2 linked regions of the Astyanax mexicanus genome follow. The protein of the gene in region 1 interacts with the protein of each later gene in a pairwise test. Links are inferred from orthologs where the notes say so. Each region holds a gene or a part of one and is shown in the gene's direction. Other genes may lie near its edges.

Region 1 (16,150 bases):
TTTAAGACTGTGAGTACCTGGAAGAGTCACCTACATCTACAGAAACAACCAACCATGTTTTATTCATCACAGTGATGCACATGTTGGTTGCTTAATTTAATAAACTTAACAGAGCCTGGATTCCACACACAGCAACCAGAGTGCAAACCCAAACTCACTGAGTGTACTGGTTCAGCACCTTGGGAAAGTGGGGGAGGAACAGTCGACGGTTTCATATACATCTTTCACACATACACCACCATACAGAGGAAAAGAAGCAAAATTACGGGTTACTGTTATCATGCGACTCCCAGGAAAGAACAGTGACGGAAAAGACAAGAGGAGAGGAGTGTTTTTGTGACCGAGTGAACACAGGAGGAAGAAAGGAGGAATGTGAGGTCAAATTCATTAAAACAAATAATAATCATAAAAACACTTTCGTGTTATACCCATACTGTCGCATCAAATTAAAAAATATATTAAACTAAAAAAAAAAATATTAAAAAGTGTTGACAATATAAAACAGTGTCTGGAAAATTGTAACCTTAACATTAGCTTTAATGAGGAAAGAAAATTCAACATTTTTACATGGTTAAACTTTAGCATTAACATTAAAAAGGAAACTTAGCTTTTAGCATTACAAGTACAGAAAAAGAATTATAATTAGGGGTGCATCAATCCAACTCTCAGTATTCTGTATCTGCCCAATATTGATCAAAATCACTGGATCAGATATCAAAAGAGGAATGAAAATAAGTCCTAATATAACTTCTGGATTTTAGGATAGTAAGTGTAAATGATTGTAGTGTCACACCAACCAAGAATTACAAGATACAGGACTGGAGAAATTCCAATGTACAGATTTAAAGACCTCTGGTCTTGTACCAGTGACTGTATAGTTTACGACTACTTTACAGTGTATTGGTCTTCTCAAGATCAGTTTAACTTACAAACAGGATACACATATGCATCACACTGAAAATGAACATATATTAATACATGTAACATCTAAATTCTGTCTCAATTTCAAATTAAGACATATTTGAGTAGCTTATGATTTCCAGCTGTCTTAGGGGTCTAACAATTAAGAGACTAAAAAAGATGGTATTGAATTGGTTTATCGCAAAATTGCTGCAATCTTATATCATTATCGTACATGAAAAGTGGTTTTGTGCCACCCCTAAATATAATGCACATTTATGAGCAAAATGAAATGCATGTATAAGAACTCTGGGAAGGAATTTAAGTTTAAAAAAGTGTTTGCATAGGTGTTGACAGCACAGAAGAAGAGCACCAGAACAACATATAAAAATACAGAAAGAAAAACAGAGAAAGGTGGGACAACAAAGAAAAGAGCTGTAGATAAGGAGTTTTGCAAATCAGAGAAGATAAAGCAAAAGCAGGCGAATGCAAATCATAGATGTGATACAAGTCAATGAATAATGCAGTGAAAGCAAGCACATATACATAATGTGGTGGAGGTGGAAAGATGAAAGCCACAAGCAAATGCAAATAATGCAGGAAAATAAATGTAAAAGCATGATGGGAAAATGCAGGAAGAGAACATGAGGTGATCGGCTGGGCTATGTTCATGACCTAAGCCTGGACACAGACAGAAGCCAATCCTGGAAAAGACCCATAGTTCAGAGGTCAGGAATCCGTATGATATGTAGCCCCACACACTTCTATAAATTTTAATTAATGGCGCACTTTTCTCCGCCAATCCGCTAATGTTTTTACATCTCCACTGTCTAATTCCAAAAAAACAAGTGATTTTCAGGAACAAGGAGATTTATGGCTATGGCTGAAATGGACCATCTGCATTACATTGAGTAGCTAAGGTAGTTGTAATTAAGCTATCAGATAACCAGCTAGTTAATCATAATGGATCATGTGGTGTTCTGCTGCAGGTTGAATTAACAGACACGGTAAAAAGCTCATTGCAGTTTTTTTCCCCAGATCTGGACTGGATCTAAAAACATATTTTTCTTCTTTAAATCATCACTAGTGATATTTGACTCGCTAGCAGCAGCCCATGGGTTAAACTGGACTGTAGTAGCTACTGTTTGTTTCAACAACAAACAGAGATAAACTCTCATACTAAAATTTTATGCAAATGTAAACAGTTTCGTGATAAACTGTTGAAACATTACAATTATTAGGCATCCAGAGGAAACATGCACTGTTCTTTTGGTATAACTAATGATTAGACCAGTCTGGCTCCATCTCTGATCTCTTCTGCACTGGACTCCATGGACTATATGCAGTCAGTGGGTTAGACCTGTGAACCTTGTGGACAAACAAGCTGCTGCTGTCTATGGCACGACTTAAGATTATGAACACAGCCCAGTTTGAGTGGCTTGAGTCTACAAGGCTGCAGTGATGCTGGATCATAGTGGCACTAGTTTTTATAAAAGAATGTTATGTTTTAACGTTACAACAAGCTTTATGTAAACCAATAGCCTTACAATTTACGGTTAGATTACAACTTAAAAAAAAGTTATAAAAACTGAAACAAGTATGTCTAATTCTTAGACAATCTGAAAGGTAGACAGAAAGGGGGGGTTAAGGGGGTTTTGTACCCTCAGGCGCTTCCACAACTTCAATGGGAGCTTCGGCGGCATCTGTAATCGCGGCTGCGGCATCTAACAGCTCCTCTGCAGGGGCCCCTTCCGACGCAGCTTCAGCAGCAGCTTCTACAGCAGCTTCAGCCACAGCTTCAGCTACAACCTCTACAACCTCTGCCACAGCGGGGACAGCTTCAACGACAGCTTCAGTTACTACTTCAGCAGCAGCTTCTATGACTGCCTCAGCTACTGCATCAGCCACTGGAGCCGCCTCAGCCTCTATGGCAGGTGGAGCTTCTGCTACAACTTCAGAGGCAACTTCTGCAGGGGCTGGTGCAGCTGCTTCGGGGGCAGGTTCTGGTGCTGCTTCCACAGGAGGCTCTGGTGCAGGTGGTGCTGCTTCCACAGGTGCTTCCACAGTAGGCTCTGGTGCAGCAGCTGCTGGTTCAGTCACAGGCTCTGGTGCAGGAGGTTCTACTTCCACAATAGGCTCTGGTGCAGCTGCTTCAGGGGCTGGTACAGGCTCTGCTGCTTCCACAGGAGGCTCTGGGGCAGGAGGTGCTGCTTCTACAATAGGTTCTGGTGCAACAGCTGCTGGTTCTGTCACAGTCTCTGGGGCAGGAGGTGCTGCTTCTACAATAGGTTCTGGTGCAGCAGCTGCTGGTTCTGTCGCAGGTTCTGGTGCAGGAGGTGCTGCTTCTACAATAGGTTCTGGTGCAGCAGCTGCTGGTTTTGTCGCAGGTTCTGGTGCAGGAGGTGCTGCTTCTACAATAGGTTCTGGTGCAGCAGCTGCTGGTTCTGGTGCAGGCTCTGGTGCAGGAGGTGCTGCTTCTACAATAGGTTCTGGTGCAGCAGCTGCTGGTTCTGGTGCAGGTTCTGGTGCAAGAGTTGCCGCTTCCACAATAGGTTCTGGTGCAGCTGCAGGTGCTGCCACTGGGGCTTCCGGGACAACAGTGTCAGTAGTAGAAGCAATCACCTCAGGCTTCGGTGCAGCTGCAACAGACTCTTCTGCAGCTACAGCTTCCGCAACCGGCGCAGCTTCGCTTGCAGCGGCTGTTGCTTCGGCTGCAACAGGGATAGCTTCAGCCACAGGGGCAGCGGCTGCAACTTCAACAACAGGTGCGGTTTCAGCTGCAACAGCAGCAACTTCTGCAACAGGTGCTGGGTCTACAACAGGAGCAGGCTCAGGAACTACAGCCTCAGGCATAGAAGGGGCTGCAGGTGCAGGAGGTGCAGCTTGTGCAGCTGTGGCAGCTGCAGCTGATGCTGCAACCTTCTTCTGAGGGAATTCCACATAGGATTTGTGTTGAACGAGCTTTTCTATATCGAAGTACGTTTTTGCCGTGGCCTTTTCTGGGACGTAATAAAAGAAGGGTAAACATATAAAGACATTCATATTTATTTCAGGCAATCTTGCGTTATCTGACCCACTTCAAACGCTGAAAAAAACTAGACAAGTAACTTAGTACCAACAGTAAACACTAAATTTATATGCACTGACGTACAGAACCAAATAAGGGGTATATTATGAAACACTAATCCAGTTTTTGGCACTGCTGGCACTGACCACTACACAGATATGAGTATGACTAATCTAATGAAAAAGTAAGCTAATTTAAAGGGTCAGCTCTGGGCTATCAATGTCCAGTGGCTTAATTTAACTATACCTAGCCTGATGTGAGATTGATTTCAATATCTTATGTTTTTTCTAGCAAAACAAAAAGTGTATTAAAAAAAGAATAGAATAAAAGAAGGAATAGGCCTGTCAAAATAAGTACATTATATTTATTTGTTTGCTCCCCAATGTATTTTTTCTGTATTATTGAAAGTGGAGATGCATGGAGGTGCATAATTAAATAAATACTAAACAAATAATAATAAAATAAAACATATTAAAAACACTACTGCAACTAAGCACTAGTGTTACTATCTAGCCCTGTACAGCTTGTAATGCTCAGCTTATGCATATGCAACCAAATATTGTTGTTAGCCAAAAAGTGCCAAGCTTGTTTCAAGATATACCCCTCATTAAAAAAATTAAATAATATGAATAAATACAAACAATAGTTGGCCAAAATACTTGCCATTTACCATTGTACTTTCCAAAAAAGATGTCAATTAGAACCCATATTTTTTGTAAACTCTATAGAAAAGGAAAAAATTAACATTATAAATGAGAGAAGTCAAAATTCTGGAATGTAGAAAGTCTTGTGCACCTGTACTGGTAAAACATGTTAGTCATTAGCACACTGGAACCTAGAGAACATTCCTGAACTAAATGAAAGAAAGGAGAAAACACACCGCATAAATATCTAAATGTGGTACCAGCACACAATTCATTTATTTCCTGACCAGTAACCTTAAAGTGACTTATTAAAATCTTTCTTGGTCATTCTGGTGGTTTGTCAAAAGATTAGGAGAAATGGCTGCAGTTTAAATCCTGTTTGGAGTCTTTAGACATTACCCTGATAGTTATATGTCTTTATTGATCAAGTAGCAAATTCTACAACACATCTACCTCAAACAATGCAATTACCAGTACTTTTTACTGCTGTAAAACAGACAAGCAATCCTTAAAGAAATCCCAGTATCTTCGTAATGTATTTTAAAATCACACTGGCAGCAGCTGGGATCACCAAGTTAACATGGTATGGTATTCATACCCCTATTCAGTGGGGGACATTCCACAACTATCTTTGGCATTGTACAGCATATAGGTCCATAAATACTCCAACCTTTGACACTTTTCCAGTCTTGTGTACTAAAAAAATTGCAGGTTATTTGACAAGCAAATAAAGTTGCTGGTACCCAACTTTGAGCCATGACTAACACATAATACAACTTAAAATAAATACAAATAACAACAAATGAAACATTGTGTTATGGGTTTCTACCTTTGTTTGACTTTTTGGACTTCTTGCTGTCTCCAGATTTTGAACTAAAAGCAACTGCTGGAGCTCTTGTTAGTGCACCCCAGCTTTCCACCTGCAGAGCCTATAGTACAAAAACAAAAGGGAAAAGGTTAAAGAACACTGTACCAAATCAAACAAAAGTTCTGCATTTTTATCTAATTTACTACAGTGTTTGTTTCACTTATCAACTAATATAAAAAAAATATATCAAGTTGATATAATATATCAACTGAAAAAAAAAGAAAAAATGAATTATCGTCCAGTACAAACATAATTTAGATATTGTGAACTAGTGAAAGTATTAATAAATGACTGCTAACAGTACACAATTAACAGCTACACATATGGCTGGATGATACGGCCAAAATATATACCATTATATGTAATACTTTCGGTCAATATGATTCAATTCCGATATTGATATGAACAGTATAAAACAGTACAAAACAGTATCGGTTTGAATATTTGCCAAATATAGGCATCAGGGCGAGGTGCAAGGTACAGAGGTTTATATTAGAGCTGGTACCATATTGTGTCACAAACAATAATACTGCCAATTTTATTAATATTGTTATGGACAAAATACCCTAAAATAATCTCCATTTTGAAATTATCATCTCATTAAATCATATTGTAAAAATGTATTATATCTGACCAGGATCATTTATTTAACTTCAATCCTGGATATATGAAGTGTATATAAGTACTATATATGTACTATAAATATACATAGCGCATTATAAGTTTTGTATAAGGACAAGTTGGATCAATAACTTCTGTTACAGTCTGTTGAAAACCTCAATTAAAGGTGCACCAAATCCTATGCAATAATATAACCAACCATTAAATTTTGTTGCATTAGCATATTTTTGAAATTATTTTTTTGTTATTTCACGGCAATATCGCCCACCCCTAATTTATATTATATTTTACACTCTGTAATTTATTTACAGTTTATTGTACAGTTCAGTCAGAGTTATTTAGGCAGTGATTATATCCTCAATATGCATACCGTCGATTCAATAAAAAATGATCACAATACGATAAAATATCCATTTACTGTCCAGCACAAGTTGCGAGTAAAAGACTACAGCTTGCATAATTAGTGGCATTAGTCTAAAAAGACTTGCCACATTGCTATATTGGATACTACTGTGTGGATATGTGGATACTAAGTTACACAGGGGATAAACAATGAACAGTTCAGCAGCGAAATTTGGGTCTGTGGAGCTTTGAGCCCCTAAACAACACCATGAAACTACCGTCAGATCAGATTAATGAGCAATTTGTTATTTGACAGCGATTAACCAACGTGTAAATTCAGTAACCAAATACACAGAACTGCTGTTTGTGTAGTGGCATGTTTGCGTCCACTGTCTGCCTGGCACTGGATCATATAGCTTATACAGCTTAGCGGTTAGTTAACACTAACAGTCAGCAGCTGGAACACACTGTCCTTGCCCGGACTCGAGAAATTACAGCGGTTGTATCGATTGTCACAACTTCAAAAGCTCGTTAAAAAAAGTGTACACACGTTACTAATGTGAGTAAACACATCGAGACCCTCAAAACTGCCAAAAAATACCGTTTTTACCTTCAGAGAGCCGAGCCGACCTATTCTCAGCAAGGAGGCCGCCATCTTTGAGCTCCACAAATCCCTCCCTGTGGAAACATTGGCACAGTAGTAATGAGAAAAGCCCATTTTTATATTTTTATTAACAATGTTCATGATCATTTACCTTTTCTTATCTTTACTAGAAATGTAATTCACTGTACTAAGATGCCTATTGAGCTTTATAATATATATATAATATCCATAAACAAGCATATCTGACACAATATAACGTTACACAACAACCCTAGCACACACCAACGTTATATACTGAATATAGCTATCATAAAAAGTTATTTTAACTGTCCCTAGACAATATTTTATCCTTTAATAAAAAAAAAAAAAGTTATTTAGAGCGTTAGTAAACCTACCTGGTGTGCACCGAGGTTTAGTTTTGCCTGCTGTCTTGGAGTTAGTTTATAAAGATAGTTATAAAAGTTAGAAAAAGAAGATATTCAGCAGATTACTAACACTGTCTGATCTATGAACCCAAAAGCAAAGCCTTTATAAAAGCAAAGCAAGTCTAAAAGCGCCCAAACTACTACACAATCACGGATTTAAAACCCGAACTCTCCACGTTTGTGTGAAAATACCTCTGCACTGCGTGAACGCCCCCTTTCTGTTAGTTCACCTTCTCCTCCCCCTCTCCCAGTTCCCATGTTTCCCCTTTTACAGAATAAAAACTCTAAAATCCCATAATTAACTCATTCTAACCAACTGAAAATACTGCATACTTGCAACTTTTTGTATTTTAAAAATGCATTATTAACGATTATTACGATTATTACCCTTTTTATTTATTTATTTATTTTTAATGCATTTATTAATTGATTGAACTGTGTCTTACATTGAGTACAAATAATATATTTTACGAAATTCCAACAGTAGATCATAATTGTAAAATTTATATAATCGATTATTATGAGCAAAAAAAATAATTAAATTACAAATAAATAAAATACATAATATGGAGGGTTTTTGTGTAGTAGTAAAGAATAACTATTTACAATAGGAAATAATTCATTTAAATGAATAGTTAAAATAATATTAATTAATGAAACGTAAAAGACGCTTAAATACTTGTAATCATTTTTATTTGTATTTATTTTTGGTTTTATATTTTTTAATTAACCTGCATCCATCAGTCAGTGTTTGGACTGCCCACTGACATTGATGGATGGTTTTGTACAGATTCAATAATTTCATAGCACCCATGAAAATAATAGCATAGCACCCATGAAATAATAAAAAAGAAATTAAAAGTAAGTAAAAAAAATAATCAAATCTAAAATGCACAATTAATTAACGATAAAATAGATAACATATAATTATTTAAGCTTCCCTTTCACAATTACACGATTAAACGAAACAATTAATTAATTCAATCTCACTTAAACTATTTATTTCTCATTTTATCATATATTTATAAAATACCATCACAATACCATCCGTGATCACGCATTAGGATCCCCTTCTCCACGCTTTAATAAATCGCATTTCTATATTTTTTTCATGATGTCACCTTATTAACCGTTCTAATACTTTTAATAATATTTTCTACTTAAGCAAAAAAAAATATTTTAGAGCATTCAAAAACTGAACTGCAGCGGCACTACGGGCGCGTCTTAAACCACACGCACATATGGCCTAGTTAGTAATCAAGGGATTTTTAAAGCGCTACATAATAAGGGAGGTGTAGCTACCTGATCGATCTTTGAAATTAGACCGTTTACTTTAAAACATTTCTATAAAAGGCTCAGTACACACTTTAACAGCACAAAGTTTAAGATTCTAAACATTATTTACTCTGACTGTAGGCACCAAGGGAGCAGGCAGCTGAGTTCCTTTTGAGACACACCATACAGGTTCTGTTGTTGCTGCTGATGTATTAAACAGGCGACGGAGGTTCCCACGTGGTTGTGCAGTGATCATGGCAGCGGTGTGCTGTGCTGGAGACTGGCTGCTGACATGCAGTTCTCAGTATTTAGTAGCAGTGAACATCAGGCAAAGCAGGTCAGCGGCTTTATCTCATCATAGACCTTTTCTTGCTCATAAACGTCGTGGTGATGTGGGTCTGGTGCTCAGATATTAGGACTGTTCGTAGGGCTGTACCATGCATTTGAGTTCGTGTCTCCAAACTGCTCACAAACTGCTAGATTAAGCAGATGTGTTAATTGAGGCTTCTGTAATAATAATAATTTGATTGTATTAAGATGTAGTGTATTATATGAAGGCCCGTATCTCTGTGTTGTGTTACAGTAATCTATATATGTAGTAATTAAAGAAATGGCTGTGCTATATATGTGTTGTTATATCCTATGTATGTTATATAATGTATTTGTATAAAGCATATAGAGTGTTTTCTAGGGGCGTGTCATTTTGCAATATTCTTGAAAGCGGATGTTTAGTGGGCTTTTTTTTTGCCATTTACTGGATTTACGTTTGTTTGTTTGCAATTTTGTTTTTTTTTTAACATGATTTTTGTTGTTACTCTATTTTTATATATTTTTTATTATGTTCCATTATTATTGTTTTATACAAATTCAGGATCTAGATAAGTTACGGGTTAAGCATTTTTTTAATTCTATATATATATAAAACCTATATTTATACTGATACTCTTAACCTGATACTTTATACTTTTATCATTCTGATTATTATGCTGATACTGGCTCTGTATTCAAGTAGCTTAACCCTGCTGAAAAAAACAGACTCATCAGTGTATCTCTTGACCATCATAGGGTGTGTTTTTTTTTGTTGTTGTTTGTTTTAGTTTGAGTAATATTAGCTGGTCTATGAGCACAATTAATTTAATCAAGCTGGACAGCAAGACTGGTTGACCAGGATGAACATTGTTATCCAGCTGTACAACAAGCATCATAGTCAAAACATAATCAAATTTAACATTTTATATAGACTGCACTGGTGAAAGTGGGTTAACCATCTGGCTTTCCAGCATAGGGTATGTTTTCTCTGGGATGAACAACTTTTCTAATACCTTAACCATCAGCTTTGACTTTCTGAGCTTTGTATAATTTTACAATTGCCTACAAGGTGATGACAAAACAGCTCCTTCCTACCTGCATTCACTCCTGAAGGCTTACGATACCTCCCGGCCGCTGCGCTCCTCCAATGAACGTCGCCTCGCTTTACCAAACAAACATTCACACAAAGCAATCCAGACTGTTCTCATACAGAGTTCCATAATGGTGGAACAAACTACCTTCTACTACCAGATCAGGAGAATCTCTCACTATCTTTAATAAACTCCTGAAGACAGAGCTCTTCAAAGAGCACTTACTCTCTTAAAACCTCTAACACACTAACTACTTCTAACCTCATTTCCTTTTTCCCCTCCTTCCCTCCTCTATCCCATTGTTTCCCTTTGACCTCCTTTAGGCCCTTTCTAAAGATGTTTTACCTCTAACTTCTATTACTTTTGTACTTCACTATTGTAAGTCGCTTTGGACAAAAGCGTCTACCAAATGTAATGTAATGTAATGTAATCTAATGTAATTTTGACTGTGGAGTTCATAGTCTGGCAATATTTTCTGTGAAACAGGGAACCGTTCGTGTTTGATTGTTCCAAAGCAGAGCAGAAACCAACGGAAACTGAGGCTGAAAATAAAAGGTTTTCTTACTACTTCTATTTTCACTAATTGCGAGAGTTGATTTTGTTTTCAGTTTTTTATGTGTTTAAATCTTTTGATCCTACAGAGCTATAATTGTATAATATAACTTACTATATACTATGTCTGTAAGTATATACATGTGTAATATTTGGGGGAAATGTTTTATTATAAAAGTGGCACTCAATTACAACACTTAAAACAAAGAAATACAGTATTATATTACATTGACATGCCGGATGTCATGAGATTAGTAGTGGGTAAATTAATCATGAAGTGTTACCTGTAGGGGCGGACTGAAAATGGCCACACCTATACAGATTTGCCAGGGGTTATCTTGTGGTTAACTCAGGTTAAACCAGTTTAACTTATGCCAGCCTCACTGAGGGCAGTGGTATTTTCACTACGCTGTACCAACCACTTGCATCAGTGCAGAAACATTAATTCCACTCATACTGGTGCCTCTCTCCCCACAGTGATGGTGGGGGTTCTGAGGAAAAGGGAAGTGACCGGATCCTTGCCTGCACCATCTCAACATCAGGAAACTACGCTGCCCTGACAGACGACAACAAACGGCTCATTCTGTTCCGCACGCAACCATCCTGGCAGTGCATCAGCACACGGTATATTTACTGCACACCCTCACCCTGCCATTTACCATATTACACTGTATGCTGCAGGTTTGAGGATTTGATAAGAGAGTAAATGTTGCTATATCTGTTCTTTAGGTGGGTGGTGAGAAGATGTACTTCGCTGATGTTCAGTCAGGCAGAGGATGAGCTGTTTGTGGCTGATAAGTCTGGTGATGTCTATTCATTTTCTGTTCTGGAGCCGCAGAAGCAAGGCGAGCTGAAGCTGGGGCATCTCTCTATGCTGCTGGCCATAGTAAGCAATATAGATTTTTTTTTTCGGGAAAATGTTTTGTTTGATACAAATGGCTTTACAAATGCTTTCAATTTTGTTTTTCATTTAAATGAAAAGCCAATGGCCAAATTCAGAAGAAGCATCTGCACAGTCAAATGGGTGCAAAAATCACTTTAATCTGCAAGCTTTCAGTCAGACAAATTTTCCATGCGTAGATAAGTAACACATGAATTAAACAAAGCTTCTGAACAGCACTTCAGACAGCTGAACTTGTAGTAGAGCTACATACATTCATACATTTTTAATACACTTTTTTCTTATTAACATTGTTATTTACATTTATTACAGACTTATTATAGACTTGATTTTATTTTTTTTTTGGGGGCTGATAGCTGGTGCCTGATGTTAACATAGAATGTGTCTCTATTTCAATGTACTTGTTTTTTTATTTCTGTGTTACCTGATTTAACATAACTCGCTGATTTCCAGACTCTGTCTCCTGACGATAAATACATCATCACAGCAGACAGAGATGAGAAGATCAGAGTGAGCCTTCGCCAATCTCCTTACAATATTCAGGCTTTCTGTTTGGGACACACAGAGTAAGCACAAAGCACACACACACAGGCAACTGCAGCATGCAGTAGCATTAAGGCATTGATTGATTTTTTTTTATTTATATGTTTACATATAAATGTACTTAAAAAATGTTTTTGGCAGGTTTGTCAGCACATTGTTTGTTCCAACTGGGCATCCTGAATGGCTCTTGTCTGGCTCAGGGGTAAGAATCAGATTTGCTTTTGAATTTACAGCTCAGTATAGTTTTACTCAGTGTTAGAGGCTGTCTTTTTTTAAGCAGTAATCCTAATTTACTCTATTCCATGATCACTAGATATTGTAAGTACTTGTGACTCTCATAGTAAATCTTAAGTGTTTTGTTTGCAGGATGGCACATTAAAGCTTTGGCATTACGAGACTGGCCGGCGGTTACAGAGCATTAACATGAAGCAGCTCGGCTTTTCTCAGAGCTCTGAAACAGATGCTGAAAAGGTAACAACTTTTCTACTAGTTACTCTACTGTTCTTGTTGTTTCTTGTGAACAACAGGAACTGAAACATTTGTATTATTTGTGGATATGATGGTCCCATCTTCAGCATTCAGCTCCTTGTTAGTTTCCATGTGTTTAGAAATATGTTAAATATTTGTACAATACTGTACTGGAAATGCACACTCAACAGTCATCTGTACTGAAAATTAACGGCGTGTTTTGTTCTTGAACCATACACTTTATGCATTCTATGCTCTATATATATATTTTTTTCTGTATATTATTGAACATATTTCTATATTTAAGATTGGACTGTCATCAAAGCATTTCTCTGCTACTTGTATTGTGTATGACTGTTTTTTAGAAATTTGGCCTTCAGGAATCAGAGGTCAGATTCAGGAGTCTGGGCGTTCTTATTGCAACTTTATTTACATGTAGGCAGAAAATCATACACGAGCACAGCTTAGTTGGTCGACAGTTCGGTCTGTTTGACTGATTAAGAATAATACTTTACATACATTGTAAAATGATTTGAATACTGCAGGGGTGCAGGAGTAGGAAAGAGTGGAGTTCAGGGAGGGGTATGTGGGGAATAAAGTGATGGCACTTGGGGTATCATCATTAGGAGAGTGAAGGCCATCAGATGGTCATCACCTTGGTTCAATTGATAGCCAAAAAGCATTCTACAAAAATCGAAAGAAAGCACAATTTATTGTAAGCAGAATATCTAAGTATGTAAGAAAACATTTGATTTTGAGTAAATATAATTTTGGTATTTGGTCATTTTTAGCCTCAAAGGTTTGCTGTGAGTCGAATCATCAGCTCACCAAATGGACGTCATGTGGCTGTGCAGTGTGAGAGGTGTGTGTTACTTTTCAATGTTACTTTTAAAGCTTATTAAAGAACCGAACAAACCCGACAGATGGAAGTATAAATCAGTGTAGATCATTACCAGGCTTTTTAGTGATGTCGATCTTATCACTTTATTTAATTTTATCTGAACATTATTTAACTGTGACAGTGTTTTTTGATCTTTATATCTTTATAGATTTCCCTCTATTCAGCTGTTTGAGGTGAAGGACGGTTCAGAAGAGCTTTTGATCCCCACAGAGAAGCTTACTCTGCCTCACGCTCCCTGGGACATGGCCTTTGACTCTGAAGGTCGACTTTGGGTCTTGCTGCAGAACAAGGATGTAACTGTGCTCCTGTACACATACTCGCAGGACTGCTGGAAGGTATATTAACTCTTCACACACTTGAGTTTACTGTAGTAGCAGCTGCTGAAGTTGTCCACAATGTTCTCATATTGCTGCTTTGTGTGTGCGAAGCAGATTGATTCAGAAAGTGCAGATCTTCAGAGAGTAGAAGAAGCACTGAGCACCCAGTGGGACTTCTTTAAAGGTGAGGTGTCTGCTAAGAAGTTTGTCATTTTAGAACCTACATCAGAAATGAGTGTAGAAAAATAACTTTGTATAGATTTTGTTTAATAGTGTAAATATTTTTTTTTTTTCATTTTATTATTATACATTTAATTTCTGAAGTTGTTATATAATTGAATAATTCTTTAAACATAATTAATTCATGCTTCCCACTTCAAATCATATCTGTTACTACAATGCTATCTTCCTTTGTTTTATTCTTGCTCAGACTCAGTCGGGGTAGAGAGTCGCTTCCAGCACCTCTACAAGGTGAACTTTGACAACATGGCCTCATATTTGCAGAAGAAACAGGAGAGACTGCAGCAGCAGGATCAGAAAGAGGGCAAGAAGAGGACAGGAGGAAATGGCTCTCAGTCCAACGGGGCAGCAAAAAAGAGCAAGAATGAGAGAAAGAGGGAAGCAGTGCCTTCAAACTGCAGCTGAGATTTAGAACCCAGGAGAGACTGAAAATGATGTGTTTAGAATTTATTTAATGGTGGACATTCCAGCAGTAGGTTGCTTGGTTGACAAAAGTGCAACTCAGTTCTGCGTCCCTGCATTGACATTCAAATGTGGATTATTTTTACAAATGCAGAAATATGATATGGATTTTTAAAATAAATGTTTTTGTTTCAAGCAATATTTCATTGTGCATTTTGTTTGTTTCTATAGTTGTATCTCTTTAAACAGAATTATTTAACTATTTTACCTTTACAGTAACAGCTACAGATTCATGATGGTGGTACATAGGGAAGGTAATTGGGACACTATTGATTGTCGTTCCCACTCTGGACCAGAACACTGTGTAACTGTGGAGCTGTATGAGACAGCTTGAGAACATTATGCTGCATAGCCTGAGTAATATTAGCGTGAAGTCTGTACTACTTGCACATGCATCCATTACCTTCAGTTACAGTTCTGTGGTGGACCATTACTATACCGGATTATAAGGTGCACTATCAAAAAATTACTATTTGTTGGTCTATTTTCATACATAAGGCATATTATGCAACACTAGTAAAGAACAAGCGTTTTCCCACGTTTTCTTTCTAATTTGGCAGTAAAGCTAAGTAAACAAAACCTTTCTTTAAAAAAAAAAAAGATTTTCTTTTAAATTGAAACGAGCACTGGATGTTAATCTACACAGATTTCTCTCCTAAAAACTTTTAATTTAGGTGAGTAAAGCGTTTTTGTTTATTGCAGTAGGCTTAGATTTCCAGATATCCACTGAGGCTGGGTGGAGCAGCATTAGCATCAGCAGCTAACTGCTAGTGCTAGATGTGGTTAGCAGCTAATGTTGCCTGACATCGCTACACTGAGGTAACGTTACTCTGACTGTTTTGGAAAGTCAGGGCGATATTAGCTAGCGTTTCGTTCCACATAGCTTGTTTTAACATGGTAAAGACGCAGACTGCAGTTCAATTTACTCACTTCTGAAGAGTAAAAGAGCTAGTGCTTAGCACAGTTAATGCTACTGCTGCTCCAGCAGTGCTAGGTAGGGTTAGCAGCAGGCTACAGCCCGATATACTCACCTCTAAATGGCGAAAGAGCTAGTGCTTAGCACGGCTAGCGGCTAATGCTAATACTGCTCAAGCCTTAGTGCTGGGTAACTAAATTGAAACTCCTGTATAACTCTGTACTTTAGTGGAGTGGACAGTTTTTGGTAAAATTAAAGGATTTTAAGTAGTAGGATTTTATAGTACGGTTTACCGAAAAATACGGTAAAAGGGCCCCTACCAAATGTTTATGAATTTAGGTATAACTAAACCAAAAGGTAGAAAAAGAGCTACATCACTTGTGAGATAATGTGACTCTAAACCTTAGGTAAGCTCAGACATGTTGATTTTATGTAACATACAGAATTTAAACGTAAATCTAAAGATCTGAATCTAAAACTGACCTATTGTAAAATCTCACCAGCAGTTTGTGAAAACATACCTCACACCAGGGAATCTGGTGCAGTCACAATGAGACTGCACATAACTGCACCTCTTCATATGTGACGCAACCACTGTCCTTGTTCTTAGAGCCAGACAGACACTTCTGTGTGACACTACTGATGACATAACCATGTTTTCATCAGGGATCTCTGTGGGCTTCAATCAACATGCTTACTTCCCA
Region 2 (16,103 bases), on another chromosome or scaffold:
CACAGGAAATGAACATGGGTCAGAGGTGCTCCGACACCCGGGGCATCACCTTCGAGGATGTGAGAATCCCCAAAGAGAATGTGCTGATTGGAGAGGGGGCGGGGTTTAAGATCGCCATGGGTGCTTTCGACAAGACCAGGCCTCCGGTAAGAGTCTCCTCCCATCAGTTACACTCTAGTGTCAGAGCAGCCAGAGGACCATGTGTACCATCTGTACCACGTCCAGCTGTGCAGTGCAGAAGACCTTTGTACTGGAACTGTGTAAAACAATGACCAGGATCAGCAGTTACTGTGAAACCAGCAAAGCTGCACAGTCAGCATTAGAGACGAGCAGTGTATCTTAAATATCAACATGTTTAATATCTTGTGTAAAATATACAAAATATATAATATTGCAATATCTCACTTCCTAGTATCTGTGTGAGATCAGTTTGTGGAAATGATTTGACTTCTGCAGGGATAACAGTTACAATAAGTATTGTTTTTTAATTATGTAGTAGAAATATTTTATTTTACAATCTCAAACATCTTAACATCCAGTGCAGTTTTATATTCATTGATTAAAAGTATAATAAAGTTATACTTGCTAATATAGTGACATTTTTACTATTAGAATTTACAGCATGCTGTGCTTTTGGTATTATATAACAGCAATTCTGCATTTCTCCTAAGCACAAAGAGAAAGGAGTTTTTAGTCACAAAGCCCAGATGTAGTCAGCAGTTAGTAGACTAGACCAGGGTCATATTTTCCAGAGCTTTACTGAGCATGCCGGTAATGTCTGTCTATAATGGATCAGGATGGTATCCGGACAGTATTGGGTCAAAGGTTAAAGTTATGACACTGTTATTTAGACACTGTTATTGGATGAGACTGTGAAGATCAGGTTCTATAAATAGCTGATTTATTTACAGTGCAGCCAGTGTCCTCTGTTATCACAGATTAATAATGGTTTTAATTCATGGCAGTATATATATGTTGCAATAACTATGCATACAGCTTTGGAAAAATATGAGACTCCTTAATTTTTTTATTTATTTTTTTTATTTTTGACTGCCCAAAAATCAGTCTCAGAAAATTAGAATATTATGTAATACCAGTTGGTGTCATATAAGACAACTGGCCACTGTGCCAAGTCCTGCTGGAAAATGAAATCTGCATCTCCATAGAAGTTGTCTATATATGTATGTATGCAATGTATATAAACGCACAACTTTTATGGAGATGCACATTTCATTTTCCAGCAGGACGAGAGTCTTAATGATTAAAGATAATTGGGATATAAAGAACTATGATTTGGCAGGGGAAGGGGTTGATCATTATTGTTCTATTTAGTGTTAATTGCTAAATAAAATTTGCCCCTTTTACAGAATGACTGGCAACCCTAGTTAACATACTGTCTGGTTCCTATAGCAGTCTTTGCTATGTAAAAACTATAGGCAGTATTGAGGTCATGTAATGAAGCTGAATAATTTCTGTAATAATTGTGATAGGCCTACATACAGATTATTAACAAAAATGTTATTGTGTCAGGGTGCATTTGTAGCTTTAGTATGGGGCAAATATACTTTTAATATATTCATTTAAATACACACTTTCAGGTTGCTGCGGGTGCAACAGGGCTGGCCCAGAGAGCGCTGGATGAGGCCACCAAATACGCCTTAGAGAGGAAGACGTTCGGCAGGTTCATTGCTGAGGTAGGTGATTTCTCTAATGCTCTAATTATTAACAAAGGAGCCGAAATATTTCTTTTAATTATACGTCTTTTGTTACTTTTGTTAATTAGACACTCCTGAGAAAGTAGTTATGAGGTGAGCCATAAAAAAAATTAACTGTACACTGCTGTAGTCCCCCCTGCACTTCCTGTAGTGTATTACAGTCTGTTAGAACAAGTGTGTGAATAATGAGCATTATAGGGCTCCCCCTACACTTCCTGTAGTGTATTACAGTCTGTCAGAAGGAGAGTGTGAATCATATGAACATTATAGAGCATTATAGAGCGCCCCCTACACTTCCTGTTGTTTATTACAGTCTGTCAGAATGAGCCTGTGGATTGTATGATTATAGAGCGCCCCCTACACTCATCATATGAATATTATAGAGCATTTTAGAGTGCCCTTACACTTTCTGTAGTGTATTACATTCTGTCACAATGAGTATGTGGATCATGTAAACGTTATGTAGCATTATAGAGTGTTCTCTACACTTTCTATAGTGCTTTACATTCTGTAAGAAACAGTGTATGAAGTGTGAGTATAGAGCACCCTCTACACTTCCTGTACTGTATTACAGTCTGACAGAATGAGCGTGTGGATCATATGAACGTCATTACAGTTTGTCTTTTATTTTATTCCTCCAGCACCAGGCCGTTTCCTTCATGCTGGCAGAGATGGCCATGAAGGTGGAGCTGGCCAGGCTGGCCTATCAGAGAGCTGCCTGGGAGGTGGATGATGGCAGAAGGAACACTTACTACGCCTCCATCGCCAAAGCCTACGCCGGAGACATCGCCAACCAGGTCGCGAGTGATGCCGTCCAGATCTTCGGTGGGAACGGATTCAACAGTGAATACCCCGTGGAGAAGCTTATGAGAGACGCAAAGATTTATCAGGTTAGAAAAAGAATCAGTAGTTAATACTTTTTTTTTACTTTACAGGAGAAGGCAAATATGTTCTTATCTTTCAATTGAAGATAATGTAAATTAATAGTTTGTACTTAGTACTTTTTGAGCTTTTTTGTTGGTCAGTTTCTTTAGTATTATTAACAAAGTGTACAAAGAGACAACAGCTTTTAAACTATGTAAAAAAAACTAAAAACAACAAGGGTCCATATTTTCAGTGCAGCGATATATTTTGATTCCCATCTCAGCATTGTTCACCAGAATTGTCAGTGGCAATGGCATTTCAGCAAAACTGGGGCTATCTTTTTTTTTTTATTATTATTATTATTATTATTATTTATTTATTTATTTATTTATTTCTGAGGAATAATTTGTTTCTGCTTCCTTTCTTTTTCAGATTTATGAAGGAACGGCCCAAATCCAAAGACTCATCATCTCTCGAGAGCATCTTGGAAAGTATAAGCAGTGAACGTATCTCAGCACCTTCACCGGGAGAAGCACTCCTTAGTCGAAAGGTGTAGTTCAATAGGATTCATATAATAAATGGTTGTAATCATAATATATCACTTTCAGGCAGTTAAGAGGAGCCACGGTTCAATATTTCACCACAGCCATATCTTATTCTAATTGTTTATACAGACACTTCCATAGTCTTGCTGTGGACATTGTTCTGTTCTGTCTATAGGAATGTGATGAGCAGCTGGATTGTAATCCTAATTGCAGTGAACTTTCCGTCCGTTAGGGTGGAGTCTTTTTGTCCTGCGTGGCTCTGAATTCTGTTTATACAATAATAGGAATGGATCTCAGGATTGTTGCCAATGTCGTTTTGCCTTAATCATTTTAACATTACTCATGTTTGTATATTCTGTAGGACAATTGTTGGTTAAGCATTAAACTGAACAAAATAGAACTCATAATAAAGAACACAATACTTGCGTTTTTTTTAAATGGTATGTCTTCCAAAAATAAATAAAGATGAACAATTCTGTCAGAAATACAGTCAAACTGTTTCTTCATTTTTTTTTTCTTCTTATTTAAGTTCTCCAAATCTGCCACAGTGACACTACAAAGAAAAGAAGAGAGCACCTACAGTCAAATAGGGTGGAGGTTGCTGCAACACACTTTCAAACAAGATTTGCCTAATTTGACTGTGTGTAGAATACTGGAAGATTTTGGGTGGCATTGTAGGAGCAGTGTCGGAAAGCTGGTTTTGTGTCCTAGGACATAGGCCTTCCAGCAAGACAATGACCCAAAATTTTTACTTTACAGAAACAAAACAAGCAAACACCTTATTTTTCAGTAAAAGTCAAGTTAAATAGATTTTATTCAGTGATGTTGGAATATTTCTATTGGTCCACTCACCATTAAATTCTGATAGAATAAATCAGATTAATCTACAATAACATTAGCACTCCCTTATTTTTTACATTTTTTAGCATATCCCCACAAGAATTGTCTAAAGTTCTGGAAATGTTTTGAACCAGTCGTTGTCTAGAACATCCTTATTTGGTCCTTATTAAAATGTCTCTAATTCTTATACTTGTCTATTTTTTCTGTTTCAACAAGTCAACTTCAAGAACTGACTGTTCACTTGCTGCCTAATATATCAAACACTGAAAAAGTGTGATTGAGTAAATGAGTGCAAGCAAATGTTTAGGCGCACTAAACAAAACACATTTTGTTGTTTATTTAAGTGAAAATAAGTGACCAAATGTATGTACCCTTTTTAAACACAGAATTCCATTGCATTATTTTTCATTTTAGAAAAATAGTTCAGTATTATTTGTCAAAATTCTTCAGTTTAAGTCATATGCATATGACTTCAATGAACACATCATTTCAAAACTACAGACCCTTCTACTGCTCTCTGTTTAGACAGATTGGTGTAAAATAAAATTCTTTAGATTGAGGTCTATGAAATGGATAGATAGTCATACATTCCTTGGTCATTGCACTTCGCAGTTCCACAAAAATAATTAGCAACCCCAAAAGTTTTCATACACACAGTTTGCCAAAATGTACATGAGTAAGCCAAAAACCTTTCTAAAAAAATGTCTTTTGTGAACACATCATTCTGCTGTTTACCAAAAATGGATTTGCTGCCTTAAGAACTGGGTGCCTTGACTTTTGCCAGGCACCATGAAGTCTGAAGATTACCGAAGGGTGGCAATGTTGAGCCCAGTGTCAGAAAGCTGGGTTTGCATCCTAGGTCATGTTCAGTGTTGGGAAGTAACGGATTACATGTAACGGCGTTACGTAATCAGATTACAAATTATAAGTAACTGTAATCCGTTACAGTTACTGCTTCAATAAATGGTAATCAGATTACAGTTACTCTGCTAAAATTAAAGGATTACATTGCGGTACTTTCCTATTTTTGCTCTTCCAACACTGACAAAACGCAAATAACATTTTGCGGTGAAATCGCTCTGATATGAAAGGGAACTGTCTGCCCCTCGTCCCATCTCGCTGCACACACACACACACACACACAGGGAGGAGGGGCAGACAGCGGCTCCGCACACACAACGAGACGAAATTAACTGACATTTTGGTCAACGAATAAAAACAAGACGAAAATGTTTGGCAGGGACGAAATCCAATCAGAACTGATTTAGTTCTGTGAAAGGTAGGGACCAGTTAGGAAGAGATCCAATCACTGCTACTTTAGCGAAGGTGGAGAGGCGGGATAAGCGGGGTACTCATCCAATCAGTACCCGCCTCTCCTTCAGTAGCGTCGCGCGCTCAGTTACAAAATTACAAACTGTCGCTACGGAGCTCGACTGGAAGTTAACTCGACAGTGTTCAGCAGGGAGAGAGAGGGGAGAGGCGATATATTTCTCCTTTGACGTCGCGAAAAACAAGATAACGTGTAAACCGCGTGGAGCGACTCAATCTCCGGTAAAAACACCACTAATCTTTCAGCTTCTGCAGACCAGAGTCACACAGATCTCCATGCAGAGATCAGAGTTTTAATGCTGATGTTATTTCATGAGCTGATGTGTTTAACTCGGCAGTGCACTAAAACACAGAACTGATACAGAACCCTAACTCATTAAGATCAGATCATCTGCTTAGTCTCACAGTGGGAAAGATATAGCTAGTGTTAAAGCAGGAACAGGTCAGAAAGGAACTCAATAATATAACCAAAATAAAACAATAAAATAAGTGAATATATGAACCCAAAAGTCTGTGTAAAGTTCCTTACAGCACTTTCTCATAAGTTTCTCACTTTAACTCATGAAGTCTCTCTGTACATCCTGAGAGCATCTCTACAGGACAGTGTGTGAAGGTGTGTTTTTGATCTCATTTATAGACTTTAGCTCCAGTAGGTGTGCTGGGTTAGTGCTGGAGATAAAACTAGATCATTTAAAAGCTGTTTTTGCATCTACAGCTCTGTTTAAACTATAATTTAACTATTCAGTTGTTTTATGACCTGATTTCTAGAGCAAAATTTTAAATGTAAAATATATATAGTCACACACCTATAATAATAATAATATACATTAAATCATATATAAATATATTTCACATTCAAACATTAACAATATTACTCAAGTGGTTATTAAACGTTTCATTTCATATAAGTGTAGAGTTAATAATTCAAGGGAACTGATGAAAATGCATTTACATTTACACCCTTTACATTTTAGTCGACTAAATTTACTGTAATTTTAGTCGACTATATTATTATGACATTAAGTCGACTAAAACTAAGTTGACTAAATTACTAAATTGTGACTAAAACTAAATGCTATTTTCGTCACAAGACTATGACTAAGACTAAATCAAAATTTGTTGTCAAAATTAACACTGGTGGCAAACCTGCAAATAGATAGCTTACAGTTGTTGTTACATTGTTTGGTTTTAAATTGTTTTATTATCAATTTATAGAAGTGTTTCATAAAATTGTTTGATGAAATGGTTTCATAAGTATGTTTATAGAGTGATTGAAAAGGCTTTTTATTTGTTTATCTATTTGTTAACTGGAAAGAAAAATAAAAGAATAATATGCAATATGTGGTTGCTACATTCATTCAGGCTTAAAAAAACGACAATATTGTAAGTAATCCAAAGTAATCAGATTACGTTACTCACTTGAAGTAATGTAACTGATTACGTTACAAATTACATTTTGAGTGATGTAATCAGTAATCTGTAAGGGATTACATTTTAAAAGTAACCTTCCCAACACTGGTCATGGGTCTTCCAGCAAGACAATGACCCAAAACATACTTCAAAAGGCACCAAGAGATGGATGGAAAGAAAGCGCAGCCAAGTTCTGAAGTGGCCAGCAATGAGTCCAAATCTAAATCCCACTGAACACTTTGTGGAGAGATCTTAAATTTGATGTTGGGAGAAGAAACCCTTCAAATATAAGATGTTTGTTGAAGGTTATAGTAACAGATTGAGTTACTTCTACTACAGAGTAAGTACGGAGCTTAATGAACAATTCACAAACTTTTACTGTGTTCTGTGTCTTTAGTACTTTATGTATCTCTTAAGCATGTGAAATAGATAATATGTAATACATACATATTTTTGCCACATTAATATAGTCACTAAAGTAAAAATAATATTTAGTGGAAAAAATACAAAAAATATATACAGCTCTAGAAAAAAATGAGACCACTTAAAAATAAAGTTTTTTTTTTACTTTACCAAATTGAAAACATCTGGAATATAAACAGGAGGAAGATGGATGATCACAAGCCATCAAACCAAGCTGAACTGCTTGAATCTTTGCACCAGGAGTGGCATGAAGTTATCCAAAAGCAGCGTGCAAGATTGGTGAAGGAGAACATGCCAAAATGCATGAAAATTGTGATTAAAAACCAGGGTTATTTAAAAAAAATATTGATTTCTGAACTCTTAAATCTTTATGAATATGAACTTGTTTTATTTGCAGTATTTGAGGTCTGAAAGCTCTGCATCTTTTTTGTTATTTCAGCCATTTCTCATTTTCTGCGGATAAATGCTCTAAATAAAAATATTTTTGTTTGGACTTTGGAAGAAATGTTGTCCCTAGTTTATAGAATAAAATAACAGTATTCATTTACTCAAACATATACCTATAAATATACCTATTTTTTTCAGAGCTGTATATTTAGAGAATCGCAAAATGTGTAATTTGAAAATGACCCATCAGAGCCTCTGTAGTGACGTGTCTGTCCAGTGTGGGCATAGCTTTAGCATTAGCATTAGCTGTGGAGCAGGATGGTGAGTGACTCTGTGTGTATTATTATGCGTTTGTAAGCTGTTATTAAGATCGTTTTAGTCAGGTTTGAGTTGTCAGTGTTTATCAGTGTGTTAGGTGTGTTAATATTGGTACATTAAGTTAATCCTGTAAGTAAAACAACACAAATTCAGACAGCGCCGTGTTTGAATTTTCCGTTCCACCTTAAATGCTACTGCAGTTATAGTAGTAACGCTTTGGCAGCCCTAAGTGAACTTCTGCGGCATTTAAGGTGGAATGGAAAAAATGAATAAAACTTGAAAATAGCTCGATATCTAGCGTTAAAATATATTGTTTAAAGAAATGTAGAGGTTTCTAATAAAGAGTTCTATGAGTAGAAATATGAGGTTGATGTTACTAAAAGGTTTAGAAGTATGAGGTAAATAAGAGTAATTGTTTTTGGACAGAAAACTAATATACAGCCCTAGAAAAAAGGAGGAGACCACTTCAGTTCCTGAATCAGTTATTCTGATTTTGCCATTTATAGGTTTACGTTTGAGTAAAATGAACATTGTTGTTTTATTCGATAAACTACGGATAAAATATTTCCCAAATTCAAAATAAAAATATCATCATTTAGAGCATTTATTTGCAGAAAATGAGAAATGGCTGAAATAACAAGAAAGATGCAGAGCTTTCAGACCTCAAATAATGCAAAGAAAACAAGTTCATATTCATAAAGTTTTAAGAGTTAAGAAATCAGTATTTGGTGGAATATCCCTGTTTTTTAACCACAGTTTTCTTGTATTGTGGCATGTTCTCCTTCACCAGTCTTACACACTGCTTTTGGATAACATTATGCCATTCCTGATGCATGATATATTGCACTCATTCCTGATGCATGATGCTGCATCACTTCAGTCGTCTCTCTTCTTAACCTTCGTAGCTGTGTTCTCTGCCTGATGCATGTTAATAATTTTACCCATCTGAAAGATTAACATCCTTTCCACAACCACAGGATGCGTCTTTCCACATGGTTGTTTAACAAATGAGAAGCTACTCATTGCGTCACTGCTTACATAATCATGTATTCAGAAATGCTCCAATGGGAGGCTCTTTTTTTACTTAGTTAAATGCAGGTGGTGACTTTTTTTTATAGCCAGGCACATTTTTGCACTCTACTTTGGGATTGTCACTTCATTTTGTTGTACTTTGTTCTTCGACAATAATGATCTCTTCTGTCTTTCTGTCTGTATGAATGTAAATACATTTTTTTGTCTTATCTTTTGTCTTACAGGGGACTCAGATTAAAGACGTGGTCATCAAGTCTGATGCCCCCAATACTCTCTTTCTGGATAAGCATGCTGATTATATAGCTGCCTATGGCTCCAAAAAAGATGATTACGTAAGTTTTTGCAGCAAGATGTAATGTAACTGAACGCTTACATCTGATGAAATGTATAAAATGTTTATAGAAGTGGCATTTTTGGAGGCAAACGTTAGAAAAAAAATCCCAGCTTAATAACTCAAGAATGCCTCAACACGCCAGCAAAAAACATATGTATGGCTAGAAAGAGATAAAAAGAAATCCTACAGTTTCTAAAAACTGCAGCGCCCTCACTCTCTAAGAATCCGTGATTGATCCATTGTGAAAAACACTTAATAATGCATGTGTCTTTAAAGTTTCGTTCAGAGTAATTTTCTGTGACTCATTTACTCAGTTTTAATGTGTTCTGAAGTGTAATCCAGTGTCTGAGCCTCTGAGCTCTATGTTGTCTTTTTGTTTCTACCTTTTTCTAGCCATACATATGGTTTTTGCTGGTGTGTTGAGACATTCTTGAGTTATTAAGCTGGGAATTTTTTTTCTAATGTTTGCCCCCAAAAAATGCATCTTCTATAAACATTTTTTACATTTCTTCAGCTGTTTTTTTTTTACACAACGTCACAACCTGATATCAATGCAATTGTTAATCGATTGTTTCACCTTAAAGCATCCAATCAACACACAAATCACATTATATTTTAAATGCCTTAATTACCCGATTTCTCTGCTTTTAAATGATCAACTGAATTAAAACACAGATCAGTGACTCGGTTCTTTTCTTGAACTTTAATTCCAAACTTCACTAAGTGTTTTTTTTTGTTGTTTTTATTAGGTTTTTTTTTTTAGATATTTTCTTGCTCTCATCTCAGACAGCACACAGTCAAACCTAATTATTAAACAAATTCCATAAATATTATGTTCTTACATCATGTTTTTAATGATCAACTGAATTAAAACACAGATCAGTGACTCGGTTCATTTCTTGAACTCCAAACTTCACTAAGTTTTTTTTTTGTTGTTTTTATTAGTTTTTTTTTTAGATATTTTCTTGCTCTCATCTCAGACAGCTCACAGTCAAACCTAATTATTAAACAAATTCCATAAATGTTATGTTCTTACAGTAGGAGGCTAAAGTACCTAACAATTCATGTAAGGTAACCTCTAATAGACTGATAGTGTTGTTCCCCTCTGCTCTGCAGGAATACACTCTGTCGGAGTATTTGAGGATGAGTGGGATTTACTGGGGTCTGACTGTGATGGATCTGATGGGTCAGCTCCACCGTATGAACCGAGAGGAGATCGTCGACTTCATCAAATCCTGCCAGCATGACTGCGGAGGGATCAGCGCCAGCATCGGCCACGACCCGCACCTGCTGTACACACTCAGCGCCGTGCAGGTCACACAGTCTACAGCTCTCAGATCAGTCTAACAGCCAGAACACTAATGATCAGTTACAATGTGTTGGCTTATAATTTGTTTGTTCAGAGATTTGGGAGAATAGTTTATTATCACAGCCATAAATATCAGATGAACTTCTGAGTGGTAGAAGCTGTATATAGACCTGTATGTTTATTTTTCAGATCCTGACGTTGTATGATAATGTTAAAGCGATCGATGTGGATAAGGTTGTGGATTATGTTCGAGGACTTCAGCAGGAGGACGGTTCCTTTGCTGGAGATAAATGGGGTATTTCTCAGCTAATAAATATATAAAATATATATTCACACTGTTTGTTATTAAATGAAAAGTATGTATGTCTAACTGTTTGTGTGTCTTTTTTTTTTCTGTAGGTGAAATAGATACCAGGTTTTCCTTCTGTGCAGTCGCTACCCTGGCACTACTGGTAAGATCAGTTATTACAGAAACATCAGTATTTAATGATGTCGTGCAATTGGCTCTGTGCACAAGATGGCGCCACCTAACTTCCGGGTAGTGAGTGGTAGGTATACTAGTTTCCGGTTGGAGTTGTTGTGGGGAGAACTGCCGGCAGGAGTACAGCGTGAAAGCGACCATGAGTGTTTTTAAAGTTAAGGAGAAACGAAAAACACAAAACAAAAAAAACTGACTGTGTTATTTTTATAATTAAAGGATCCTCTATAAAAATTTGGAGACACTGGGAAACATACCAAACTGTTATATTTTAATAATAAAAAAAAAAAAATTAAATTCAACAACAATACTATTTCATGCCTTTATTTCCAATAACGAAGGCAATGGGCCAGTTTTTCTTTTATAAAATTCATTACTGTTGGTCACATGAAAAGTTTAAGGCATATTTACAAGCTTATTCAATAAAAATAAATAAATTGACCCATAAGAATCCAGAGCCAGTTTTGAATACAAAAAAAAAATACAAAATTGATTCAGGTAAAACAAACGTTGTTTACATATTATTGGGATAATGAGGGAACACAAATATTTTACGGTTTGAATACTAATGTAATATAAATGCATATTAAACATTAACAAACAATTTTAGAGAACTTCTGGGTTAATCACACACTGAACTGTTTGAAACTAAGGATATACAATAGTAAACAACTATATATCTCCCGATGCCAGTATAACTTACAGAGGGTCTAGACACAGGGTAGAACTTATCTATCTCTCTCTCTCTATCTATATCTATATATACATAATTATTTATAAATAATATATATATATATATATATATATATATATATATATATAATATATATATATATATATATAAATAATAATATATATATATATATATATATATATATATATATATATATATATATATATATAATATAAATATAAAATATATATATATACAAAATATAAATATAAAATATATATATAATATATTATAAATAATGGGTTCTGGGTTAATCACACACTGAACTGTTTGAAACTTAGGATATACAATAGTAAACAACTATATATATATCCCGATGCCAGTATACATTATACATATTTATAACTTACAGAGGGTCTAGACACAGGGAATAACTTAAAAATAGATCAAAAATAATATTTATATATATATATTCTCTCTTACTCCTGGGCGCTGTACATCATTTATAGTTATTTTTGGTAAGTCCTGGAGAGATCGCGTGTAGAAAGCCATACTGTCTGCTGACCGGCGCTGAAAAGCGGAAATGACTCCGCCTACCAGTCGTAGACCGGAAACAGGCAGCGTCGTCTCATGCAACTAGCGAATTTATCTCACCTTTATAAAGAGAAAAAAGAACTGTTTTAACTTTCTATTGGTCCATTTGCCGTTTACCTCAGGAGTTGGCTGTTTGAGTTGGAAGTGATGTCACATCTAAGTTGACTGCGCTCCCAATAGACAATTATATTTTAGCACTTTAGTTAAAATTTTATACTTTAAACTAGGAAATTTCGACAATTGAGGTCAAATACTATGCTATCAGATATGGTGATGATAAACACTGATATATTGTATATTGTGTTGGGGTGTTTCAGGGCAGGCTGGATGCGGTAAATGTGGAGAAGGCGGTGGAGTTTGTTCTGTCCTGTATGAATTTTGACGGGGGGTTCGGCTGTAGACCCGGCTCTGAGTCTCACGCTGGACAGGTCAGACACACACACACACACTGAAATAAGAAACCCTTTATACAATAATGTTATTCTTGGTGATATGACAAATCACTGGAACATATATATTAATTTCAAGAACATACTACTGCAACAAAATTCATGTTAAAGTTCAAAAGTACAGTAGAAACAAATAATCTGTCTTAAACTTTTGTCTATTTTGCAACAGTAACTTAACAAGACTTGAGTTGTATAAAATAATAATTGTTCAAAATAATAATAATAATAAGAAGAAGAAAAAAATAATAATAATAACATCTTTTTTTATTTAAAATAAAGAAGTTAAACGAATAATGTAATATAAAGTGTGTGGAATTAAAAAAAAAAAAAAAACTACCGCAATACTAAAATGTATAAAGATATTTGAATAAATTTCAATAATAGTCTGCTGCAACAAAATAAATGTATTTATTATTATTATTATTATTATTATTATTATTATTATTATTATTATTATTATTATTATTATTATTTATTTTTTAATCACATAAAAAAATATTTTGTATGAAATAAAAAAGTAATAAAGTAATAATGTACTATAATATTTATGCAATGCAACAAAAAAACATATCACAATACTAAAAGTATTTTGTATTTTTATTTATTTATTTGTATTTATTTATTTGTATTTTGTGTCTGTTTTGTATTTGTATCTATCTATCTAAAATACAGAATATAACTGTAAACATAACAATTATACAAAAAAATGCCCTTAAAGATCAAAATGCAAATCAAGTACAGATTTACTGATTTTGATGGAGAATAATGCTAGCAACACTATATAGATTTTTTTTTTATTTATCTGTATGTGAGAGTTAATTTTGTAAACTGTATTTTTCTCTGTTTCTGCAGATTTACTGTTGTACGGGTTTCCTGTCCATCACCGGTCAGCTCCATCAGGTGAATGCAGATCTGCTGGGCTGGTGGCTCTGTGAGAGACAGCTGCCGTCTGGAGGCCTCAACGGGAGACCAGAGAAGGTTTCCACATCACAGTCTTGAATTTACATATTTATATACTCTATTTGCATATTGGGAGAAAAAAAACAAAGGATAGTTTTTAAGGGACGTCAGTGTGAAAATATTTCATTTTCAGTAATTTTGGAGAGAAAAAGATATACATATTTTTTACACTCTTTTTATTAAATGTTTTAATATTTTTTTCCCCACGTAGTAATGAATGAAATAGTAAAGTGATTCAGACTATGAAGAAACACATAAGGAATCATGTAGTAACTTAAAAGTGTTAAACAAACCAAAAAAATACTCTGTGAAGAAGCATTTAGATGCTCTTATCTGTGGTGCTTATTCTGTAAAACAGAGGAAACTCTTTCTCTCCTTTTCCTGTTCCTGATGAGAACCAGTTTCATTATGATGTTTTTGATGGTCTTGTGACTGCACAAAACTACTTAAATTAAGGATACTTAAATAGTAGTTGAGTAGTTGTTGCTTCTCATAACCTGGATTCGAACATTACTCAAATATTCACTATTATTCACTGTATACCTGTAACTCTACCTCTTCACTACTTTACTTTAACTGATGCTCTCAAACCCTTTATTAAGAGACAAGAAATTCAAGTAATTAACTCTTGATGAGTTCAGCACAGCTGTTAACTGAAAGCCTGAATTCCAGGTGACTCTGCCTCATAAAGCTGACTGGGAAAATGCAGCAGAGATGTGCAAAACTGTCATTTAAGCAACATATTCTGGTTTGTTTAACACTTAATAATTCTAGATGTTTTTCTTTATAGTTTAGATGACTTTAGTATTAATTTACAGTGCTGAACATTTTACAAATAATGAAAAACACTGAATTTACGGTGTTTGCAAGGTATTGCATTGGTACTGTATGCTTAAAATGATGGAATTCTAACACAAATGCTGAAGAAGCTAACTTATGAAAGTTGGCATGGCCAGCTAAGATGGCTATGTCACAAAGATTATGTATATAAATTGCTTTGTTTTGGTGTTTTTAGCTGCCAGATGTGTGTTACTCATGGTGGGTTCTCGCAGCGCTGAAGATCATCGGCAGAATTCACTGGATTGATAAAGCCAAGCTGCGTAACTTTATCCTGGCCTGTCAGGACGAGGAGACGGGGGGGTTCGCCGACAGACCCGGAGACATGGTGCGCTTTATACAGCAGTAATATTAGTGTATATTAGTGTATATTAGTACTAGCACACATTTCTCTAAGGTGTGCGTTCTGCAGCTCTGTGTACATTCGGGCTGATCTCATTAAGCCCCTATAAGCTCCCCCTGTATTTGAGCCTGGTATTACACTGGAATGAATAAACCCCTCACAGATATGAGAACAGCTCATTTATAAGGACTTCAGCAGCTTCAGGCTCTTATTCCTGCCCGTACAGAGAGACTGCTGAACAGCCTCCAGCTGCTCCAGACCCCTTTAAATCAAACCCATATATTGGATTAGACTTGAGTAGATTAAATTGGATTGGATTGGGTTAAACTTTAAATTGTCATTGAGAGAGAAAGTACAAGTCTAAAGCAGAGAAATGCAGTAATATCAGCCAATATATACAAACAATGCATATGAGAATTTCTCAGCTCCCTGGAATCAGTGTGAGTAATATCTACTGGGATCTTCCGATCCAGTTTCATTCAGTCAAATCCAAGTAATTTATTGTTTAATATTAGCTGAGACAGATCTGATCCAAGCTTGTTTTAATGAATATCACAGCTGCTTTATGTATAGAATATAGAGTATGTAGAGTTTTCTTTAGTGTGATGTCGCACACTGTAAGGTGTTTTTTAAACTATATTTCTCTATATTTATATTTATATTTTTAATTATAATTCATTTAGACTTTAATTAATTTATGACTTACAGGCGATATAAAAGACATACTTAAAATGTTACATATTAAATTCTATAAATACAGCAAAAAAGGAAGAAAACTTGTGTTTGGTAGATTATAGCTAATAAGTAATGTTCTAACAAAGTAATAAATTAGTGATGTCAATTGATTAAATAATTAATCAGATTAAATCAATTAATCAGATTAATCACAACAATATTCTGTGATTAACTGCGAATAATCACACTTGTTGTTCTTGTTAAGATGCTAGTTTTTACAGTATATATTTAAAAATATATATTTTTTAAAATGTATTTAAAGATATATATTTTTAAAAATATATATTTTTAAAAAATATATTTAAAAATATATATTTAAAATATATGTTGAGTGTAAATAAAAAAAATAAATAAATAAAATAACAAATATAAGAAATGCATATATGTTCGTGGTGTCAAATAAAATTCTGGTATATACTTGTATGTTTGAGGGGAGATAAAACCAACATGGGGCGCCGTATGTTAACTGGCTAATATATCAGATTAAACTGCATTTATACCACCAATGCAATAAGAGACTTTCAAATG

The links.
Region 2: the proteins of wdr4 (region 1) and rabggtb interact in binary tests that used the Homo sapiens proteins (3 or more experiments, as listed by UniProt). The two-hybrid records come from large-scale screens. The link is inferred for Astyanax mexicanus from reciprocal best matches to the Homo sapiens genes WDR4 and RABGGTB.

The regions. Positions count from the first base shown.
Region 1 is NC_064418.1:42,010,389-42,026,538, reverse strand, and holds wdr4 (tRNA (guanine-N(7)-)-methyltransferase non-catalytic subunit wdr4), read left to right. Parts: upstream 1-8,981; 5' UTR 8,982-9,000; coding exon 9,001-9,083; intron 9,084-10,632; coding exon 10,633-10,701; intron 10,702-11,175; coding exon 11,176-11,322; intron 11,323-11,427; coding exon 11,428-11,584; intron 11,585-12,052; coding exon 12,053-12,165; intron 12,166-12,283; coding exon 12,284-12,344; intron 12,345-12,508; coding exon 12,509-12,613; intron 12,614-13,401; coding exon 13,402-13,472; intron 13,473-13,659; coding exon 13,660-13,846; intron 13,847-13,939; coding exon 13,940-14,012; intron 14,013-14,258; coding exon 14,259-14,473; 3' UTR 14,474-14,671; downstream 14,672-16,150. Other genes in the region: si:ch211-140m22.7 (skin secretory protein xP2), read right to left, coding at 2,562-3,899, 5,441-5,540, 7,053-7,120, 8,877-8,931. UniProt on the Homo sapiens protein: Non-catalytic component of the METTL1-WDR4 methyltransferase complex required for the formation of N(7)-methylguanine in a subset of RNA species, such as tRNAs, mRNAs and microRNAs (miRNAs).
Region 2 is NC_064425.1:41,692,688-41,708,790, forward strand, and holds the start of rabggtb (geranylgeranyl transferase type-2 subunit beta), read left to right. Parts: upstream 1-7,768; 5' UTR 7,769-7,831; coding exon 7,832-7,834; intron 7,835-9,087; coding exon 9,088-9,195; intron 9,196-10,313; coding exon 10,314-10,511; intron 10,512-10,695; coding exon 10,696-10,801; intron 10,802-10,905; coding exon 10,906-10,958; intron 10,959-12,568; coding exon 12,569-12,679; intron 12,680-13,552; coding exon 13,553-13,678; intron 13,679-14,675; coding exon 14,676-14,825; intron 14,826-16,103. Other genes in the region: acadm (medium-chain specific acyl-CoA dehydrogenase, mitochondrial), read left to right, coding at 6-146, 1,599-1,694, 2,357-2,605, 3,012-3,083. UniProt on the Homo sapiens protein: Catalyzes the transfer of a geranylgeranyl moiety from geranylgeranyl diphosphate to both cysteines of Rab proteins with the C-terminal sequence -XXCC, -XCXC and -CCXX, such as RAB1A, RAB3A, RAB5A and RAB7A.